Linked DNA regions of Astyanax mexicanus. The main gene of each other region encodes a partner of the protein of the gene in region 2 in a complex. Links are inferred from orthologs where the notes say so. Each region holds a gene or a part of one and is shown on either strand. Other genes may lie near its edges.

What was found.
Region 1: pold2 (region 2) and pold3 share a complex: the UniProt entries of both Homo sapiens proteins name them as parts of the both the DNA polymerase delta and DNA polymerase zeta complex. The link is inferred for Astyanax mexicanus from reciprocal best matches to the Homo sapiens genes POLD2 and POLD3.

Annotation. Positions count from the first base shown.
Region 1 is NC_064424.1:5,729,724-5,740,431, reverse strand, and holds the start of pold3 (DNA polymerase delta subunit 3), read right to left. Parts: upstream 4,627-10,708; 5' UTR 4,551-4,626; coding exon 4,494-4,550; intron 2,798-4,493; coding exon 2,742-2,797; intron 2,654-2,741; coding exon 2,551-2,653; intron 1,623-2,550; coding exon 1,583-1,622; intron 1,457-1,582; coding exon 1,324-1,456; intron 97-1,323; coding exon 1-96. UniProt on the Homo sapiens protein: Accessory component of both the DNA polymerase delta complex and the DNA polymerase zeta complex.
Region 2 is NC_064419.1:31,901,865-31,913,475, forward strand, and holds the start of pold2 (DNA polymerase delta subunit 2), read left to right. Parts: upstream 1-7,230; 5' UTR 7,231-7,404; intron 7,405-7,534; 5' UTR 7,535-7,543; coding exon 7,544-7,757; intron 7,758-9,706; coding exon 9,707-9,828; intron 9,829-10,134; coding exon 10,135-10,258; intron 10,259-10,431; coding exon 10,432-10,546; intron 10,547-10,769; coding exon 10,770-10,968; intron 10,969-11,564; coding exon 11,565-11,611. Other genes in the region: sf3a1 (splicing factor 3A subunit 1), read left to right, coding at 892-1,088, 1,272-1,389, 1,679-1,986, 3,029-3,274, 3,373-3,580, 3,697-3,857, 4,811-4,912, 5,114-5,185 and 1 more. UniProt on the Homo sapiens protein: Accessory component of both the DNA polymerase delta complex and the DNA polymerase zeta complex.

The DNA of each region.
Region 1 (10,708 bases), on a different chromosome or scaffold from region 2:
GGTTTAGTAGCTTCTTTTTCCACAACCTTTTCCTGGACTTTCTGCAGCTCTGTGTGGGACAGCGGTACAGCGGCTGCACAGCGGATAGTGCTATACCTGCAAACAGTCAAACAAATTACTGAGAATGCCACCTGCTAACATAACATATAAATAAAACATTTCAAACTATTTTTTTCCATGCTATGTACATATCTGCTCACCAGTGACTTACAAAGATTGTCATTTTAACAGGTTTAACTGCAATCTGCACATGTGCCATTTTTTTGGTTTCTGTGCAAAACATGTTATAAGATACTTTACTGACCCTTTTTCACATTTTCAGCTCAGGGAGGAGTCAACTAAAATCAGGGGGTTTAGTGCACCTTTAGACAACAACGAATAACAAAATCTCAAACTTTCCCACAAATCAGTTCAATTTGTTTCACTTTGGGAAAGAAATAGCTTTTTGACAAAATGCTTAATTTGTGGGGAAAAATTACCACCTACTTCATTAGAATAAATTAAGATAAATTATAATATGTTTATTTCAATATTCCAACATTTGTGAGCAGAATAAGATTTAAACAAAATCATTAACAGGAATTAGAGGTGGATCTTTTAAAAAATGATTTTTCATTTAAAATCAGTGATTCATACAAACCTAAGATTAATCTTTAAAATTAGCCTATTTTTCATGTGCGTAAAAGTCATCTATTTGCAGAGTTCCAAAACATGCTTTAGCGTTAGAGAAGCTCAGCTAATATTAGCAAAAAGATTTAGTTTTCTCTCACTAAATGTTATAAGAGTCTACTAAACTACTAGACAAGATGCGTCTTATTTTTAGTAATTCACATTTAGCTAGCAAACAAGTTACTGACTTTTACATTCCACTTCAAATGCACTGGCAGTTACATTCAGAGTAAGAGAAAATTAATCCAAGCATTGATTAAATTCACTCTTTTCTTACACTGAAGTTCTGTAGAAGTAAATAAGCTGAATGCCTGATTACATTACATGGACACTCTTGTTATGATATGGACACATTGAATAACAAAAACAGAAATGCATCTTGCTTGGGTTAATTCTTCAGGTAAACACTTATAATTTTAATAATGGTAGATTGGTTGTCCCTTATACAATTATAACATTAGTTCTCTGAAAGTCTCTTTCAAATCTGAACAAAAACAATACACTATAACATTCCTAAAATACATTGTACTGAATTAAACCAAATCAAATTGGGACCTTGTGAATTGGAATTGATTGATTGATTCTAACAGGCCCTAAAAGGAATGTTGTCATAATCCCCATAATATGCATGGAAACAGATCTTAAATCCCATACTTGTTGCAGTTTTTCAGGTTCTCTTTCACAGCATCATAGTCTGTACTGTAGAGTGGGCCGCTATCCTTCAGCTCAGCCTTCTGGACACTGTACACATGAACACTAATGGTTTTATCCAGCTTGGACTTCGTATCTAGAACAGATAAGAACATAAGAGAGGAACGGTGTAAAGATCTACTCAAATTTAAATTGAATTGTGTAGGTTGAACATTATACATGTTAATTTTTTTCTCTGAAACATCAGAAAAGATAATCATACCATCAAGCTGATCTTCACGCACCACGGACACCTTATGACACTAAAAGGAATAACAGAAAATATTTCAGGTAATAAAAGAGAAAACATTTAGGTATTCAGAAAAGGTATTTAGGTATTCAGGTGTTCTAGATCACATTATATTGTGGAAGACAAGCCAATGTTGGTCGGTCTCATGTAATTCTAATAACCTCTTATTTTTAAATGCATAAAGGAGGTTAAAATAGGTTTTTAACCTGGGGGTCCTGATACACAATAGAGCGATGCTAATAATCAAGGGAGTTTTCTAGGGATGAACGATGATATTGGAAATATATCAGCATCAGCCGATAATTGCTTTTTTTAAGAATCTTTGGTACCGGCCAATGTGTAGAATTGGTAGATATTTCACAACGAAACTGGCCGACATTTTTATTGTATGTAGAAAAAGGACCAAGTAACACTGGCCTAGCAACTTTAAAATCTAAATAAACTGATTTAAGTTAATTTTGATTTATTTTTATTTGTTTCAATAAATATATGGTTTTATTTAACATGTTCATTTAGAGGGTATAAAGCTGTGAACGGTCTATGTAATATATATAATAAATAAATGTGAGGGGGGAGAAAAAAAAAAATAACATATTTAAGCAGGAGACACCTCAGGTTCAATTCCAGGTCTGGGTGTCTGGATGCTATGCTACACCAATTAAAGACCTTGGGCGAGACTCCTAACACTACACTGGACCACCTCTGTAATAGGACTAATTTTGTAAGTCGCTCTGAATAAGAGAATCAGTTAAATGCAGTAAATGTAAATAATGTGCAGTAACTTTTTGTTCCTGTGAATCAGGATTTTCTGCACTAAAGCATCTTTGAAACACAAATACAGATACTGCAAAACAGTAAAAAAATGATTTGCTAAATCACGTGGAACATCTTTGTTTACAGTAATAAACTCTGCATAAAAGAATCCTGGTCTCCATACTCACCACACTCCCATTCTCACTGCACTTTCCGGATACAAGGTAGGTGGCATGCAGTGTGGTTCCAGACCTCTCCTTGCGTCTCTGGTCTAAGTAGTGATAAAGCATCCTGCAATACATGAAAAAAAAGCTATGTCTGTCGGCCCACCTCAAACAGCCTTTACTAAAAATAAATAATAGTATAGCCATATACTTACTGTTTAGCCGTGTTGACATGGACTCCCAGAGTAAGACTGAGCCATTTATATGTGACCTGTGAATATAAAAGAGGAAAATCCATCAAATATAGCAAAACTATTTTTCACAACACATTTTTTTTTTTTACTTTATTGTTTAAAACTGACCAAGATTTGAAATTAGCTATTTTTAATGAAGCTTGTCCAAAGAGGAGCATTTCAAGTCACTTTCAAAACAAACGTAGCACAATGCCAGAGAAATGTAGGAGATTCCAGCTGACTTAACCGGAATCTCTAGCATTTCTTTATGTTTGAAAGCCCGAAACTGCAGAGATTAAGCTAGAGATTTGTTGCTTTTTGCAAGTACCAGGATGAAAAAGTGTTTCTAAGATTCAAATCTGAATTTGATTAACTGCATTTACATAATGAGCGGCATGCTTTCTTATTTTAATTTCCCATGTTCCATGTTCTGTGTATTATAGCTTGATTTTATATCCAGTTTAAAACGTATGATTTTATGGTGTGGGATTAAAATAAGCACTCTATCAGCCCAAGGTTATGTTAAAGATGTGCTTTATTCCAGCAGGTCAATGCTCGTCCACACACTGCTGCTTACAGAGGTTTTTTCCTACATAGTAAATGAATAGTGAAGTGATCCAGACTATAAAGCAACACATAATTAATTGTGTAGTAACTTAACTAAAACGTGTTAAACTAATCAGGATACTCCCTCTTGTTTATTACTGCTTAAATGTAACGTTACTCTCTTCAAAAATATATGGAAGCTTGGTTATGCTTAATGTATTATTATTTCTGTATTGTTATGGTTATGTCAGGTGCACTTAATGTTCTTAAAAGGACAATAACATTGTTTGTCGCATTAAAACAGCTTTAGAAGCTTATCTAGCCAAGTAGCCAGTAGGGGTGGGCAATATTATATCGTATACAATATATCGTGACAGAAATATCATGATATTAAAAATCCATGTCATGATAATAGGGCTGTTCTGTCTTAAAAGTAGTCTATTATTTACTGTGAAGCTTTAGGTGTATTTATTGTATAATTGTTTTAGTTTGCAGTTTATATGCATGCACTAAATATTCTGCAATATTATTTGATGCATTATATTATTTTATGCTATATTATTTATTTTGCCACATTATGATTATTCTGTTATACTCTTATTCTATATTCCTGAAATTAATAAATTATTTTAGTTTTCCTATATAGCCCAAGTATATCGTTATCGCAAAAATACCCTGAAATATCGTGATATTATTTTAGAGCCATATCGCCCACCCCTAGTAGCCAGCTTGTATAATGGCATTTGGTAAACTTAGATAATCTGGAAACCTTCATGTACTTAGCTTAGCTTGCAAAGACTGGACTTTTCAGCAGGAAAATATGCTAAGCTAACATAGCTAGCTAACTAACTAACTATAGGTAACCTAGGTTACTAACATAGCTTAGCTAAAGCTAGCTAGTCAATCACATTGAATAGTGGGTCCAGTGATAACACCAGCTAATGCAAGCTAAATTAGCTAGGTTAACCGTATTTTTGCAGGAAAATAAAAAAAGCAGTTTTCCGTAGTGTTAAACTAATAAAACACCCACACAACCCACCACCTCCAGCTCTAAACCAATACTGAACACTGATCATGCAGCGTTCCCCAACCCACACCCCAGAGCTCACAGCTATTAAACAGACACAATCAACCAAGCAGCGCCCACTGCCCTCAAACACAGCGCTCTCCTGAACATCAGACACTTACTATCTTATTCTGATCGTTCACATATTCGTCTATGTTGTCTAAATACAGATCGTCCATCGCAGCGATAATCTGAAGCAGCTCCACTCTGCAGCTCCGAAACGCGGGAAACTTTATTTACTTCCTGTCATGTGCGCGCGGACGGGAAGGGGTGCGTTCACTGCCACCCGCGCTTCAGCGAGTTGTTATAAAAACAGACCGTCTCTGATTAACATTTAGGGCCTCAATAATTATAGAGAATTGGTATTAAGTACACTGCTAAACATAAACGTTTTTCTTGCAAAATAATGACTTACTACTATTACTCAAAATAATGAGATCTCAGAATAATTATTTACTATTTTAAATATAATGACTTACAATCTCAAAATATTAAGATTGTATCTCCAAAAAATAATGACTTAAAAATAGTGTCTCAAAATAATGACTTACTATTTCAAAATAATGAGATAGTAGCTCAAAATAATGAGATACAATCTCCAAATAATAATTTACTATTTTAAAAATAATGAATCTCAAAATAATAAGATAGTTTCTCCAAAAAATGACACAGTATCTCAAAATAATGACTATTTTAAAATAATTATATTATCTCAATATACTAAGATAGTATCTCAGAAAAATGAGATATCTCAAAAGAATGACTCAATATTTTAAAATTTAAAAATGAGATATTATCTCAAAATAATGATTTACTATCTCAAAATAATGAGATAGCAGGTTAAGTAAAAGTAAGAAAAAAATGTGCTGGATTTTTTTTTTTTAGGTGGCGGGAATGGGCTTCCATACCAAACACTTACATGTAATTTGAATAAAATATAGTAAAATCTATGAAGTTCATTTGTGCCACTTTTTACACAAAATGAAGCATTTTATTCATTTTTGCTATTTGCTATTGTCTGATCATCACTCTCAGGCATTTTAAGTGGGGATAAAATTAATTCTGAACATAGCAAAAATTTTAAAACCTTCTTATTACATATTTTTAGTGATAAACTTTCCTTCCCTATCCATTATATGTACAACTGACCAACATCCCTTTTCATACAGTGCTGAAAACATAATTTTGAAATCATTCTCCAGTTATAAACCTTTTAAACCTGCCCTCACTGTAACTCAAACTAAAATATATTTAAAGTTTTCTTTGCTTATTTAGTAAAATACATTGTAATACTTTATATAATTAAATGAATATCCTACACATGTGGATAGTAACTATTTTAAGTTTTAGCTCCTTTGACCCCCATTCATTTTGGACTTCTTGTGGCTCACAGTAATATTCTAATATAACAATGGAGAAAATAAAAAAAACAGTCAAGCAGAGAAATAAACATTTATGCCTTAAATATTTTATTTTATAAATCTGTATAATTAAAATTCATTTTTTTTATTTTGACATTTAAATCTGAATTTGATGAACTGAATTTAACCATTGGTGAAGCATTTTGTTCTTATTAAAAATTACATTAGATAGCTTTGAAATAAAACTGAATTAAACTTAGTCTTACATATACAATACTAATGATAATTGGCAATCAATTATATTTGCTTGTATAAACAGTCCTTTGCAATAATGATATATTACTTTAACAACACATTTCTTTATCCTGTATTGTGCAATACCAGCTTTTTGCCCTCAACTGAAAATATAAATATTTATTAGTAATTGATAAAATAATTGTCCTGTAAATTAAATTAAGCCAAAAAAAATAAAGTAGGCTTCACATTGGATCACTTTAATATATGTAGGGAGCAACTTGATTATTAAGAATATTTAACAGTAGATTACAACCTAAAACTACTACAATATAATATATATATAAAACAGTATGAGACTTTGTGAACATCATGAACAAGAAATCTCTGTCTCCTTAATTAACTTAATGAAAGTATTTATTAAACAGTATGAACAAAACAATTAAACAAATATCAGAAATGCTGTAAACCTGCATCATGTTTAATAATGCACAATATCACAACAAGCATTTGCAAATAATCACAAAAGCATCTATCTGAATAAGCTGGGGGTCGACAGTGGCCTGTAGATACAATCCCACACTGGACATCTCAGGCCTGATTAAATAGCAGTACTTCAAAACATGCAGGTTATTGGATTCACATGATGGGCGTCACTTCAGCAGATACACGCTGCTAGGATTTAGTTGATAGCATTCAGAGGAAGTGTGATACGCAGCATCTGGTGAAAAAAACAAAACATGTATTTACATATCTGTGCATTGTCTTATTCATTGCATAGTGCTCAGAAATATTGGTATTGCTTTTGACATTCAGTTCTGTATCCTGTTGTTATGTTGAAAAACCATATATTCCTACCATAAAGATGCGAATCAGATTAATAAATGGTTGCCTATGTAAAAGCTAAGCTATGAGTTGTGCCTTGTAAAGCTATATTTGTAGATGCTCAATTGAAATGTTGTATTGATCTTCTTCTCTCTACATGGATATTTAAGAAATTATGTTTGTGCTGAATTTTATAAAGCATTAGTCAAAGGTTTGGACACAACTCGTCTTATTCAATGTGTTTTCTTTCTTATTATGTTTTTTTTACATTGTAAATGTAATATTGAAAATATTAAAGCTCTACAGGAACACATGCTGAATTATTCTGTAAACAAAAAATGTAGCACATTTATCTTTAAGGACTGATCTGCACACTCTTGGTATTTTAATCTCAGTATCTTCATGAGGGAGAGTCACCTGGAATAGTTTTCTCAGCGTCTTGAAGGAAGGAGTTCCTGGAGGTGTTGTTTTATTTACTGTTTACTACGTAATTCCATTTGTGTCTCTTAATTGTTTTAATGTCTTTAATATTAATCTACAATGTAGAAAATAAATACATAAAAACACTGAATAAGAGGGTGATATGAATTAGAATATTAAAGTTTGATGTTGAACAAGGTCTATCTGAACTTGTATTAAATCTGTATTTAAGACTTTAAATTGAATCCAGGTGCAAATTAATCTAATGTAGAAAATTCAAATAATGCTGCACAACCCGTTTCAAACTTTTGGAGTTTTTAGTTTTAATTCCTCTGCATTGTGCTGCATGTGTTTGTCTCGTTTAAATGTTACATGTTAGAATTCTGTGAAAGTGACTTAAATAAAACTGAATTGAAATCTTTAGATAGATCTAGTCCAAAAACAACAACTTTTTTTTTACTTTTTTTAATAATTTAGATTTACAAACTTTTAATCCTATTGGTACAAAATTATTCCATAGGTATCCTAATGCATGGCATCCCCTTGTTCTGTATTTGAATAAACATTGATGAATATACAGATGTGTTTATATTTATTCTAATAAGAGACACACACTTTATTTTATTGTTTGTGTGCACACAGCATATGTTATGTTGATACCCTGGATTTGTAAAACTCAATAAAATAAAGTTACAAAAAAAACAAAAAATAGTAGTATTGTAAGTACTTATCATAACTAGGGTATATTTTATAACAGAGTGTTTTAACTCACAAAGAGCCCTTTCCACAGCCTAGTGGTCCGAAGTAGAGCTCTGAAGGCAGACATGTTCCTTGTCGGCAGACTCCGTTCAGGCTGGCACAGCTCCACGGGAAGGACGCCGCCTCATTCTCTTTACCTTCAAAAATAAAATGCAGTACTGTTTTGGTTCTGTACAGCTAAGACACAGCTTGAATTCATAATAATCATAATAGTAATTGTATTTATTTTTACATACAAAAAAAGATACTGTTTAACCATGCTAGAATAATTTGAATAAGCTGAAGATTAACCATATTCATCTTATCAATGACTTTATTACTGCAGTTCTTCACTTGTCAGACCTCTAATTCTTCTCTTCACTGCTAAAACTCAGTTCAATCATGTTAATCTGAGCTAAAGGATAAAGCTGTTTCCATGTGGGTCAGCCAGACGTCTTCCTGTAGCAGTTTTCTCCAGTTTACAAGAGTGTTTAGAAGGTGTAGGAAACAGTACTCACCGCTCTCTGGCTTCATCTGTAATTTCTCTAAAAAAAGACTTTTACTTTTAATAGTTACAAAGTTCTCTGTGTTTCTGTGTCTTTTTTGTGCTGTGTGCAAGTGTGTAAATGCTGCAGTAGAGACTAAGACTTATTAAATTTTGTTTCTATTGCTACCAGCCAACTGTAAGCTGTTAAACAATTACTTGTTTCCTAAAAAGCCACTTTCCTCTATTCTTGTTTTTTTTTTTTACAGTACACAAATTTTCCTGTTTTAAGTTATTTTTCCTCAAACACCCAGGCGTTTTACTGCTAACTTTTTAATGCTATTTAAGTTTACTACAATATTCAGGATATTCACTGGATCTGAAGAACTTTTGACCTGTAGTGTACTGGTATATGGACATGTCTATATGAGATAACATTGCATTGCATTGGTCAGTGTGTATTACTTGAAGCACTGACGAAATCCACAGTATACTTGTAAAGAAATGCGTTTATCATTATACAATAAAAGACACAATAAAATATTACCGTATTGCGCAGCTTCACCTACAAAACATAGTAAAAACATGATATACTCACAGTACAGAGCCAGGACAACCAGCAGGACCAGAACCAGTGCGCACTGAGGCTTCATGCTTGCTGTTGGTGTAGAAATCCTCTGAGGACCGTGACCATAACTGCAGTCAGACAGTTTTATTCTCAACGTATTTCAGCGGGAGGAGAGACTCTAGTGAGGTCACTCCATTTTGGACTATAAGTTGAAAATTGGATTATGTTGCTGCATGAATAGCAATACTGTTCCTAATCACATTTGGTGAGTGGTTATTCATGGCAGGGCAGGTCACGCAATGTGTGCTGCAGCCAATTACCACAGTGGAGAGAAAATAATGTTTTCACCTGATCTCGCACACATGCTTGTCCTGATGGGGACAATTTCCCTCTAAACATTTTCTGAATCCCAAAATGCAAAGGCCTTTCAGGGGAATGTGATATTAAGACCACTGCAGGGCCAAATGAATACTAAGTACCGATCTGTGCTGAAGCGAATAAAGTTTCTAGTTAGTCTGGTTACCGTTTTCTGTTTTTATTTGTGCTGTTGCTTAACCAGGTCCAGGAAATGCATGGAACAGAGCATACCAGCTAACTAGCTAAATGCTAAATTGAGAACTGTGTGTTTTTATACAGCTACCAGCCTCATCCTACATTACTACCAGAAGTCAAAGTCAAAGTGGTTTTTATTGTCATTTCAGCTACATACAGAGTACACAGTGAAACGAAACAACGTGCAACAGTACGGAACAATAGTGCAACAGTACAAAAGTGCAGACAGACAATACAAAACAATACAGACAAAGAATAATAAATAACAAGACAGTGTGCAAATTTTGCAGTGTGCACAAAAGACCAGGTGAGGTAGTAATTACTCTATTACACAGTGTGCAATAGAGTCCAGTGAGGTAGTAGGGTTTTTAGTGCTTTCCATTTTCTGGGGTAAGTGGGGTATACAATGCAGAATACAGCATTGTTAATGCTATGTTAGTACAGGACAATTTATACTTGCTATACCTATTATATTACTAGCAACCTATAATATATACTACCTATAATACTTCTATGTGTACCCTTCACGTAGCCACAGACCCTACGCCACACTCTATACCATAGCCCAACATGCACCTCCCAAGAAATGTGGACAAGGACACACAAACACAGAAGTATAAACACAATAGATCTTAATGTCGTTGTCCACTCTCATCCAACGTTACTAACAACACATTAGAAATTTTATTCAAAGTGCAAAAAAAAGCTGCTTTCCAAATGTTTGTGGTCAGCCATCCAAATTAGGGATGTGGCATATCATATTGTACACAATAATATTGTCAATTGTTTTTAGATAATAGCCAATAGGCAAACATTTTCCATATTTAGTACTGCAATGCTTTATTTGTTGTATAAATAAAATGTATAAAATATGTAGCATTTATTGTATAAATTGTATTTGTTAGTTTTGTTGCTTTTGTTAGTTTTGTTGTTTAGTTTTTTTCTACAGATTGCTTAAAACTGTTATTCACAACAGTTTTAAAATTATTAAAAATGTTTTTTCCTTATCTTTATCACTAAAATACCCTGACCAGCACTGAAAAACACCTAGTGACTAGAATGAAATCCCTGATCTTCTGGGCTATTGCAGAGCTCCCACTGATATGCTAGTATGATGGCCACTATATGATAAACAAACCAAACACAGTACACACA
Region 2 (11,611 bases):
TTATACTGACTGAAGCACTTTAATAGATTATGTTGAAACTAAGTTATTTAAAGTTTATGAATCCTTTAGGTTTGTTTATTTGACGTGGATATCATGTTGAATACCTCTTGTATTCTGACTAAAGCACTTTAATAGATTATGTTGAAACTAAGTTATTTAAAGTTTATGAATCCTTTAGGTTTGTTTATTTGACGTGGATATCATGTTGAATACCTCTTGTATTCTGACTAAAGCACTTTAATAGATTATGTTGTCACTAAGTTATTTATAGTTGAAAAATCATATAGGTTTGTTTATTTGACGGGAAAATCTTGTTGCTTTTATGTATATAAAGGCTTCTTGTATTATATATCCTAGTTAAAACACTTTTGTTTTAATCTGTTAAATTTGTTTACAATGAATAAGAAGCTCTGCCTCTGTTGTCATTTAAAGTTATTTTTATTTGTAATAGTTATATAGGCTTATGTTTGACAGGGATGTCATGTTATTATTTTGCTATATGCAAATAAAATTGAGCATTGATTTATTTTGACTACTTTTATTTCTAAAGTATTAAAGTTTTTTGTGAAAGGAGGTTTCAAAGACTTAAAAAACATTTTCATACAGTAGTAGGTACAGATTTCCATTAGATAGATTGATACAAAAAGTGCAAATACACAGTTAAATAATAATTTAAATTTGCAGTGCAAGCAGCAGAGATTGCAGGGATTCTTTTTCTGAGGCCTTCAAAGTATTTATCGATATCGAAATTATATCGTATCGACCGAAATTTAAGGAATATATCGTGATATAAATTTTGGCCATATCGTCCAGCACTATGTTATTGTATTAATAGAGATTTATACTATGTCGCTCTGCCTGGTCTGAATGTGTTAATAACTCTGCCCATAGGTAACTTCCCTCCTCCCACTACTCCTGAGGAACTGGGTGCTCGCATCCTGATCCAGGAGCGCTATGAGAAGTACGGAGAGAGTGAGGAAGTGGAGATGGAGGTGGAGAGTGAGGATGAGGATGACGAGCGTGAGAACCGAGATGATGGTCGTGCAGCTCAGCCTGATCAGGATACACAGCTACAAGATATGGATGAGGTGAGAGTGCTATCAGTTTAGTAATTATCAGTTTCTTCGATAAAGGAATAGGGCTGAGAGAGTTAAGACTAGCACAGTCTTCCTCGAGACACAAGACTCAGTTTATTATTTGAAATGTTTGACAAACAAATATCTGCAATTATTCAAACATTGGAATTTAGGACTGTCTTTTATGTCTCACAGGGTTCTGATGATGATGAAGATGGAATGAAGATTCCTCTTCCCCCTGATAATCCTATGCCCCCTCCACTGCCACCGACCCCAGACCAGGTCATCATCCGGAAAGACTATGACCCCAAGGGTGAGACCCCATTTTATATTTTTTATTTTTTTTTGTGTGAAACAATGCTGAAATAAATTTCTGTGTGGCTATATTGGTAATTATTTTATATGATAATACATTTTACAATGTAGTTTTTGTATTGTAATTATATTACAATAACTGCAATATGTTGTCTAATGTATTTCTCTATTTGTAGTTATTTCATGAGCTGTCTGCATTTAGATTTAATTTCATCTGATGCCTTAATTATTAATTGTTCTTTATTCTGGACACATTTTATTTTTGTTTTTGGTCTCCTATTTTTCAGCTTCTAAGCCCCAGGCTCCTGTCCAGACTACGGATGAGTACCTCATTTCTCCCATCACCGGTGAGAAGATTCTGGCCAGTAAGATGCAAGAGCACATGCGTATCGGCCTGCTGGACCCACGCTGGCTGGAGCAGAGAGACCGCAGTATCCGCGAGCGGCAGATAGAGGAGGAAGTGTACGCCCCCGGCCTGGACATCGAGAGCAGCCTGAAGCAGCTCGCCGAGAGACGTACCGATATTTTCGGTGTGGAGGAAACGGCTATCGGAAAGAAGATCGGAGAGGAAGAGATCCAGAAACCAGAGGAGAAGGTTAGTGAGGGAGACTAAAAAACAACTGTTTTTAAGTGATTAGTTTAAGATGGTACATTGCATGTTGTTTTTAAATCCCTACCCACTAGATAGCCATGTTGTTTTTATTCTTTAACATCTCATACAATTAAATCATACCTTTTTCACAGCCGATATGGCGTTACGTCTGGCTCTGAATAGTAGCGGTATCAAACCTCTGCCTACACTGTTGAACAGGGTGCTTATCGGTTGTAGTTTTCCCCAAACATCTTTAACAGACAGAATAAAATAACACTAACTGTGCTTCATTTTGGAGTAGAAAAAAGTCAAGTTCCTCACTTAGTCCCACAGCATCTTTTTTCTACATTAAACTAGTCTCCAAAACACTGTTCAGGGAGCCATTACTGATGATAATCTAAATTAATGCTGAGGTAACTAATTTTGATGTTGAGGTAAGAGTTTTTAATTATTGTTTTGTACATGGTATTTAGTTTCAAACTGTTTTGGGATGAACGCAGGGCTGAATCATGGGTCACTCCGGTTAGGTTAACCTCTCATTTGTTGATTTCCTCTTTTAAATGACACGTAATTCAACGGGAGTTTTTTTTGTTTTTTGTTATTGGGAAATTATTGGTGTATTAGCTTCAGCCATTAGCTTCAGCCATTAATTAGAATACAACTGGAAACAGCTACTGTTTATGCTTCCGTATTACCAAACATATGGAAAGTGTAAAATGGTCTATATATATCGCCTTGCTTAGAGCATCGCAATGTGTTATTGTAAACCCTTTACTATGATGCGTGTTGTATAGCAAAATTTCTTGACCACACACAGCCCTAATAGGAACTGGATTCTTACAGTAATGTAAGAAATCCATTACAGTATAGATCTGCAGTGTTTGCATTCTGAGAGTAGTAACTGTTGATTGAAGGTAATCCAGTAGAAATCTGCAGTGTGGACTCCAGTCTGACAGGAATGTTTTGCAGAATAATGCACATATTTAAACTGCAATAAATGTTCATTCTTTAATATGTCTGTTTTTCTGTCCCATTCTGTCTCCAGGTGACATGGGACGGTCACTCTGGCAGTATGGCTCGTACTCAGCAGGCCGCCCAAGCTAACATCACCCTGCAGGAGCAGATCGAAGCCATCCACAAAGCCAAGGGTCTGGTGCAGGAGGATGACACCAAGGAGAAGATTGGACCCAGCAAACCTAATGAGCTGCCCCAGCCTCCAATGCCATCCTCTGTGGCCAATTTACCCAAACCCAGCCCACCAATCAGCACCATGCCTAAGCCCCCACCTGTGGTCAGTGCGCCTTCTGGAGTTTAAAAAGGTGATATAAATCATATAATATGAATAGGATTTAACTGTTATTTTTTGTGTTTGTTTGTTCTGGTTTACAGGTTCCACCCCCAGTCCGGACCACTCTGCTGTCTGCTGTGCCCGTTATTCCACGGCCCCCGATGGCTCCTGTGGTGCGTTTGGCCCCTGGGCAGGTGCTGACCCCCATGCCACCCATGGTACACGCGCCACGCATCAATGTGGTGCCCATGCCTCCCACAGCTCCACACATCATGGCTCCAAGACCTCCACCTATGGTGGTCCCTGCAGGTAAGAGGACAGTGTTAACATCTGTTGCTTCGGTCAGCAATTATTACAGGAACAGTTAAGAGGCCAAGATGCTTCTTGAAGAATAGATACTGAAGGTCTTTTGTTTCTCCCTCTAGCATTTGTTCCAGCCCCTCCAGTGCCACAGCCTCCCAGTGCAGCTCCAGCCCCAATGCCACCTGCTCACCCTCCACCTCCCCACGAGGACGAGCCAGTCAACAAGAAGATGAAGACAGAGGACAACCTGATACCCGAAGAGGAATTCCTGCGCAGAAACAAGGTGCTGTGTGTACTAGTAGGATATACAGTGCTTTTTATCAGTTTGTAAACCCTTTAGAATATAAATATGACCTAAAACATTATCAGATTATATTACTAGCAGTACATAAAGAGAACCTAGTTAAACAAATGAGATTTTTTGTTTATATTTTACTTTGTCATTTATTTATTAAGCAAAATGATCCAATATTACATATTTGTGAATGACAAAATGATGTGAACTTTTCATTTAAAAATTATATTGGATGTTTTCAGTCAAGTCACAGTCCTGACCATAATTCAGTCAAAATGTTGTGGAAGGTGCTGATTTCCTAAAAGTATATTAAGAGAATCTAGTTAAACAAATGAGACAAAAATATTATACTTGGCAATTTATTTATTGTGAAAAATAATACAATATTAATAGAGATTGACCAATCAATGTTTTTGGGGCCAATTTTGATCACCAAGCTTGACTGGAGACAAATGCCACAGAGATGCGAGGCAAACATGGTACTGATTCTCCTAATTATGGTCACCACATTTTTTGCCACTCACAACTATGTAATAGTGTATAATTTTCAATAAATAAATGAGCAAGTCAAATATTTTTGAAGTTTTAGGCCATATTTATGCAAAAATATAGAAAATTGGAAAGGGTTCACAAACTTCCAAGCACCGCTGTGCACACACAGGAGTACTGCAGGGCTGTAAACTGTGACCAGGGTATCTTATCTTATATATATTAAGAAACTTTCACATTTATTTTTTAGTGCACTGCACACAATGTTGTTTTTAACATTGGGGTTTAAGAAGGTTCATTGTAATAAAAATTAAAGTTTCATTATTAAATTATTGTGACTAGCTCACTTTTTATGTAGACTTTGTGTATGTCATGACAACAGGGATGAAAAAGTGGGTGTTGTGATACATTCTTTGAGTTTCTCACTAATTGTAAGATTTTATGCCTTTCAGGGTCCCGTGGCAGTCAAAGTTCAGGTACCCAACATGCAGGACAAGACCGAATGGAAGCTGAATGGACAAGTGCTCAACTTCACCATGCCTCTAACAGACCAGGTAAAGAGGCCCGCCAACAGTGCACTGACTAATCATTTAACACAGAGGATATATTTCTCTCTTTTTGAATTGATTATTAACCTTAAACATGTTTAAATAATAAAGTTAGTATTTATTCTTTTATTTTTTTTTTTATGTGTTTAAATAAAATCATTCTCTTCACATTGTTCCTATTCACAAGTATTTCTCTTTTTTTTTTAGGTGTCTGTTATCAAGGTTAAGATCCATGAAGCCACTGGAATGCCTGCAGGCAAACAGAAACTTCAATATGAGGTAAATTATAACAATTTTCAAAAAACGCAGATCACTTCTTAATCCATACAAGGGAATTCGGCTGCACAAAACAGTTTGCCAACCAGTACACACTTTTTATATTACATTTCCATATATCGAGTGGATTTCTGAGCTAAAAATAAGCTGGGAAAAGATTGTATACGAATAAAAATAAGTTATGACTCATTTTTTCCTAAAATCATACAAAATTACAAGTATGCATCAATCAGTAATTCAGTCCCCAGAGGAGAAAATAAAACAGCCCTTTAATCTATTTTATTTTACTGTGCTTGCATGACCTGTGTGACTATCAAAAAATTATCATTATTTATTAAACATAATTAAATTCTCTCTGCTAATTGAAACTGTATCTTTCGTCTGCAGGGTATTTTCATCAAGGACTCAAACTCTCTGGCTTACTACAACATGAACAACGGCTCTGTTATTCATCTCGCCCTCAAGGAGAGAGGAGGAAGGAAGAAGTAGTTTATACTCTCGAAACTCCTCCTACTGCTCAGCTCTATTACCATCCCTGTTTAGAAGATTCATATGTAGAAATTGCTGCAGTTTTTGCTTGGTAGTTTATACTGTTATCAACAAGCTGGATTCCTTGGAACTGTCACACTCTTGTATGAAATGTCTATAGTGTTAGGCATTTATCTTGTGTAGTTAAGTATGTTTTACTGTTTTGGCTGATACTAGGCTTATGTTTCACCTTTCAGATCTAAAACACTGCTTTTGTGAGATTCTGAAATGAAAAAAATGAAAATGTTATTACAAAGCAGAATCAAATAAATTTAAGGAAAAACCTTAAATAATGTGTTTTTTTTGGCATTAAACCTCTAGCTATTGCATCAGAAAACGAAGCATTTGTCATTTATATGTACAGGAAAACACAATTGTCTTAGTCCAGTTTGACAAGGCTGAGGTGAGATGTGCTACAGCGCCCCCTGGAGTGGAATAAGGGAATTTGTTCATAGGAAACCAACAACACTAAATAATCCAGAGCTCTTACTGAGCCACCACTACTGCATATGTCTGGTATCAGATATTAAATATTTGCTGAATGAAACGTGATATTTAAATGGTAGTAATACACCAAATAAACTCTTTTGCAGAGTGTAATAACTTTTCCACTTTTTTCACCATTGCAATAAATTAAATACTCTAAATATATTTGTTAATTTTACTTAGAAAAAATTACTGCAATTTTAAATTTATGTTGAGTACTGAATATTTTTTACATCCAGGCAGACACACCAACAAAGCTAAATATAACCTAAAATAAGAAGGGCATTAATTTTTTATTTTTCCGTTTAGCATTTTTATCCAAATCATTTTTTTAAATTAAAGTGGAAAAAGTCAAGTTTTAGATGCATGCAATTATAGACAATTTATTTGAACAGTATTAAATTTATTGAGGACATATGTATGCTATGTTATACATTGCAAGGTCCTTATTTATCGGTCAGCATTGCATTTTTGAGTATGTAAGTGTAAACAAACAAGCAAATAAATAAAAAAAATGATGTCGCTTGACAACATTTATGTAAGCATGTTTATTCCATATACAATGCACGTTTGTTTTACTCATATCTAAGCAATAACACGAATATAAGTTAAATAATTATTAATACATTTAATACAAAAATAAAATCAGACACATGTTTTCTGCCCCCTGATGGATTATCTGTTGCAAAAACAGATAAAGGTGTGTTTAAAGTGGAGCACATACCTGCTTTTGCGAAAGAAAACTTCAAATTCTAATGTATCAAGTATGATCCATAAAAGTCCTGCATGTGAAGCGTTATTTGTTTTCTTTCTGTATTAATATTTTATTATATACGGTTTAAAAACAAAAGAATTTTAGCAAATATTTTGTGGTTGTGTCTTTAAAGAGCTAAGTCCTTTTCTCAATATATTTTTATATATCAGAAGGTTGAATTTCTAAGAATATATTATAAGAATGGGCGAAAATCGTTTCTTTTTTTCCTTTTCGTGACTTTTATTATGAAGGCAGCGCTTTGTAGTAATGTTGTCACATCCTGAGGCGGTGCGATATTTAGCGGGAGATCCTGAAGTTGCCGTGTGTTTGTGTTTCTCTGTTTGTTTATGTTTATTTATTAATTTATAGCTGTGTGTGTGTCCTATAAACTGTCAGCACTTTTACAGTAAAGGACCTAACCCACTGTACAAGAGAGTCCTGAACCCCGAAACCGGTAAGAATGAGGGTTAGAGAGCGAGCTCGTGTACTCACTGTGTATCTGAAGGCTCTGGGTTTAGGTGTGTGTGGGTCTGAAGGCTCTGGGTTTGTTTGTTTATTGTGTATATATTATTTCCTCTCCGCAGTTTTCGGTCATGTTCTCGGATATTACGGAGCAGAAGGAGACCCTGCTGGCTCCTCCAGGAACGGAGAGGCCGGTGTTCTCCCGGGATGAGCGCACGTACAGCGGCTGCAGTGAGGGCTTCGGGCTGGGGGAGCGCAGCTTCCAGCGGCAGTACGCGCACATGTACGCCGCCAGACTGATGCAGATGCGCGGCATCCTGAAGGACAGAGCCGAGCAGAAGTGGGGTGAGAATTCTGGGTGTACTGGTTACAGTGGGGCAGCGCTTTGGAAATACAGAAGAATCTGTAAATACCTTATGATGGATTCTAGGAGCCAAAGCACCTATAAACTAATATCGAATACAATATAATTATTACAGATTACCCAAGTCTCCCGGAAGTTGCGGGAGTCTACAATTGATATCATATCCATAACGGCTCCCTGATGCCCGCAAGTCAGATAAAATCTCCCGGAATCTAGAACGAGTGGCCCAAGAGTGAACACATAAAGTGCATGCAAAACAGAGAGTGTTCTGATTGGCCTGTTCTTTGCAAAGAGTCTCTGGGTCAGCCAGTCAGTTTTTAGTGTGGGCGGGCAGTGTTTTTTTTTTTTTTTCCTCCTGGACGGGATGCGTTCAGGAGCATCGTGGCTCCCATCAAAACTCATTTTACCTCTGACTACTTTAAAGCATATCCATGTCTGGTAAAAACAGTGAAAGTCTTGCCCGCTGTACAGTTTGTAATAGTAATTTTAGTGTTGACCATGAGGACTAAATGATTGCAAAAGGCATGTTGAGGTAAGTTAAATGTGACCATATATAAAAGTTCTATGATCCTTTGGTATGCTTTGTGAGTGCGCTAGTTCTTGTTTTTGTTTTTTTGTTTTGTTTGTGGGGTGGTTGGGGGGAAGTTCGGGTCTGGGGTACCTCACTGAAATTAATTGTTGCAACTTGGGATGTCTGATCATTTATTATTGTTATTATTATTAATTTATTATTACTTTTAGTATTATTAACAAGGTTAAAACAATGATGACGTTACAAAACCTGAGCAACTACCTGGGACACCAGGTTTACATTAAAGTTTATATGAACTCTAACTATGAATTTTCTACCTACTTCCACTGCTGCTGGGGCTATTCAGCTAATTATATTAGACATATGTGGAAGTCTAATGCTTTTTAACACTGATTGATTGATTTATAAGTTATCTGACCAGGAGAGGCTGGGTTCCCTTCTATATTAGCCATGATAATACTTTCTTGCTAGCTAGTAAGCAATGAGGCTAATCCAGCAAGCTACCTCTATAAAGCCATACTCCACTTTTATCCACACTTTATTTTTCTCCAAATAATGGACACAGCATCGCTCTGCTGAAGACTCTCAGCCGCTCTCCCTAATCCACACTACACTATTATCACTGTTTCCCTCCCAGAAATACAGGAAACTATCCCCATTTTAAAGAATAAATCATGATTTTGAATATTGTGGTGATTTTATTTTTAAATACCACTGATACTAATATAATTATTTTATCCAATCTAACAGAAATTATTATTATTATTATTATTTTTTTTTTACATTTAAATACCCTTAAATAAATTCTTCTTTAAAAAGTCACATGGTTTACACACATGCAGTTGATATTTTGATATACATTTGATATTTGCACTGGTGAGTTTTTAATGTTTTTGTTTGTTTCAAGTAAAATGTACTCAAGGAAAAGTGGCTTAAATATATGGTGTCCATTAATATATTAGTGCAGTTAATATTTAAGAAGCACAGGCTAGTACAATATGTCTTCTACAAAGCCTTTTTTGAATCATGCAAGATAACGCTTGTGGACTGGAAAGTCAGCCTGGATTGGCATGTATATACCTTTTTATAATATTTATTTTCTGTCCTTAATTAATCCTGAGTTAAATGATCTGTATTGGAATGATGTTAGTTTTACTTAGCTCTGAGATTTTTGTGTATTACCGTGCATATTCCATGTTTATATCTGGATTTTGTTTTTATTCCTCAGTACCGAGACTCAGTCTGTGTCCCATGCATTGCGAAATTATGGAGCCCAACAACAAAGGAAAAAATGAAACAGGAAGATGTCTGCCTGCTGCTGTGTTTGGCTAGTGATGCTGATGTCTTTCCTGGGTAATCAGGTTCCTGTTATTAACTCGATGTTTCATGTTTTTTCAGGTACTGACATACCAATCAAGAAGCTCTGTGATCTGCAGATGGGTGAACAGTGTGTGATCGTGGGCACCATATTCAAGCACATGGAGCTGCAGCCGTCCATACTGAAGGAGATCAGCGAGGAGGTAGTCCAGAAAATAAACCAACCCATCAATCATCATTGGATGTCTCAAAAACAGCACTTTTGCTGCAAAAAGAAATGGGAATCTATTTAAAAAGATATCACAAATTTTGGAGCATTTGTATTGGCCAAGCCTTGAACTTAAACTGCCAGATTTATGTCAAAAATGTTTTTTGTAGATAACCTTCTTTGGGGGTTGGAATGCTGTTAATGTAAACTTTTATGTTCTGTTTGTGATCATTTGGAATATTTCTTTTCTTTACTTTTTTTTTTTAACTTTCTTCTTTATCATTTCTTTTGATTACCTCAGCACAACCTGCTGCCCCAGCCGCCTCGTGCCAAATACATCAGCCAGTCAGACGAGCTGATTCTAGAGGATGAGCTGCAGAGGATCAAACTGGAGGGCAAAATCGAAACAGCCAAGTTTGTTACTGGTAAAAATGAGGGGTTTTTTGTTTTTTTTTTATAACCCTTATACCGGTAGTAATATATAACATACATTTGAGTTTGTAATGTGTTGACTGGATGGTCTCAGTTTGGTTCATTTACTTAAGATTTCACAAAATGTATTAGATCTGCTTTGATAATCTGTTTTATTGGTCCACAGGGAGTGTGATTGCGATTATGGGCGCAGAGAAGAATGATGGTAAATTTACAGTAGAGGATTACTGCTTCGCTGACCTTCCTCCACAAGCTCCCAGAGAGCCTCTGAACTCAGATCGGTAACCCAGTCAGCTTTTACACTTATTTTTAAATTGGGAAAAATAAATAAACCTTTGCACACAATAAAAATAAATGCACTTTTATATTTATGTAATGCATCTATCAGTTAGAACATCAAAACCAATACCACATTAAGGGAATAACATTTGATCAAGGTCTATATATGAAGAGCTTTTCTACACACCCCTCTGACCCATTATTCTGTTTCCACTGTAACTGCAGGTTTGTGCTCCTGGCTTCTGGCCTGGGATTGGGTGGTAGTGGAGCAGACAGCATGCTGGGACTGCAGCTGCTGATTGACATGGTCACAGGTCACCTTGGGGATCTGGGAGAGCAGAGCGGGGCAGCTTCCATCTCTCATGTTCTGCTGGCTGGAAACCTTCTCAGTCAGAGCACACAGGACAAAGACTCCACCACCAAGGTGGGTGGAGGAAGGTGGAGGTTCACCTTAGATTACCTGTGGAACTAGATGTTTCATTACATAAAGAACATACTGTGCAGTGAACAAATGTTTGCCCCAATTTCACATTACACATATGACCAGCGAGTAAGGACTTTGCCATCTGTAGCCTCTCTCTGAGGGGGTAGATGGTAATTTCTTCCCTTATCACTCCTGTTGTGAAGCTGGTCAGCACAGGCCTCTGCTGGCTGATGTATCAGAGCTGGGAATCTGGCACTTTTCTCTGCATGAGTTGGGTGCTTGTTGATGTTATATTGGTGGCTGTTTGATACATAGTTTGAGTCATATTGAGTGAGTGGGTGGGTTAATTGCTAAAAGATAAAACGTGGGGGAAAAAATGAGAGATCTCAAGGGCCCAAAACATGCAACAGTGTGAAGACCAATTGGAATGTTTTTATTACCAATTGATGAGTGAGTGATGAGTGAGATATTTGATTGTGAATTTTCAAATTCATATTAAAGATCGAGTGTAGATTGAGTTCCACACCTAAATATTATTGCATGGATAAAATTATCATCAAAAAGATATTTATCGGCTTCTTATTTCTGTCGTCCAGGCAAAATATCTTACTAAAAAGACACAGGCCGGCAGTGTGGAGGCCAT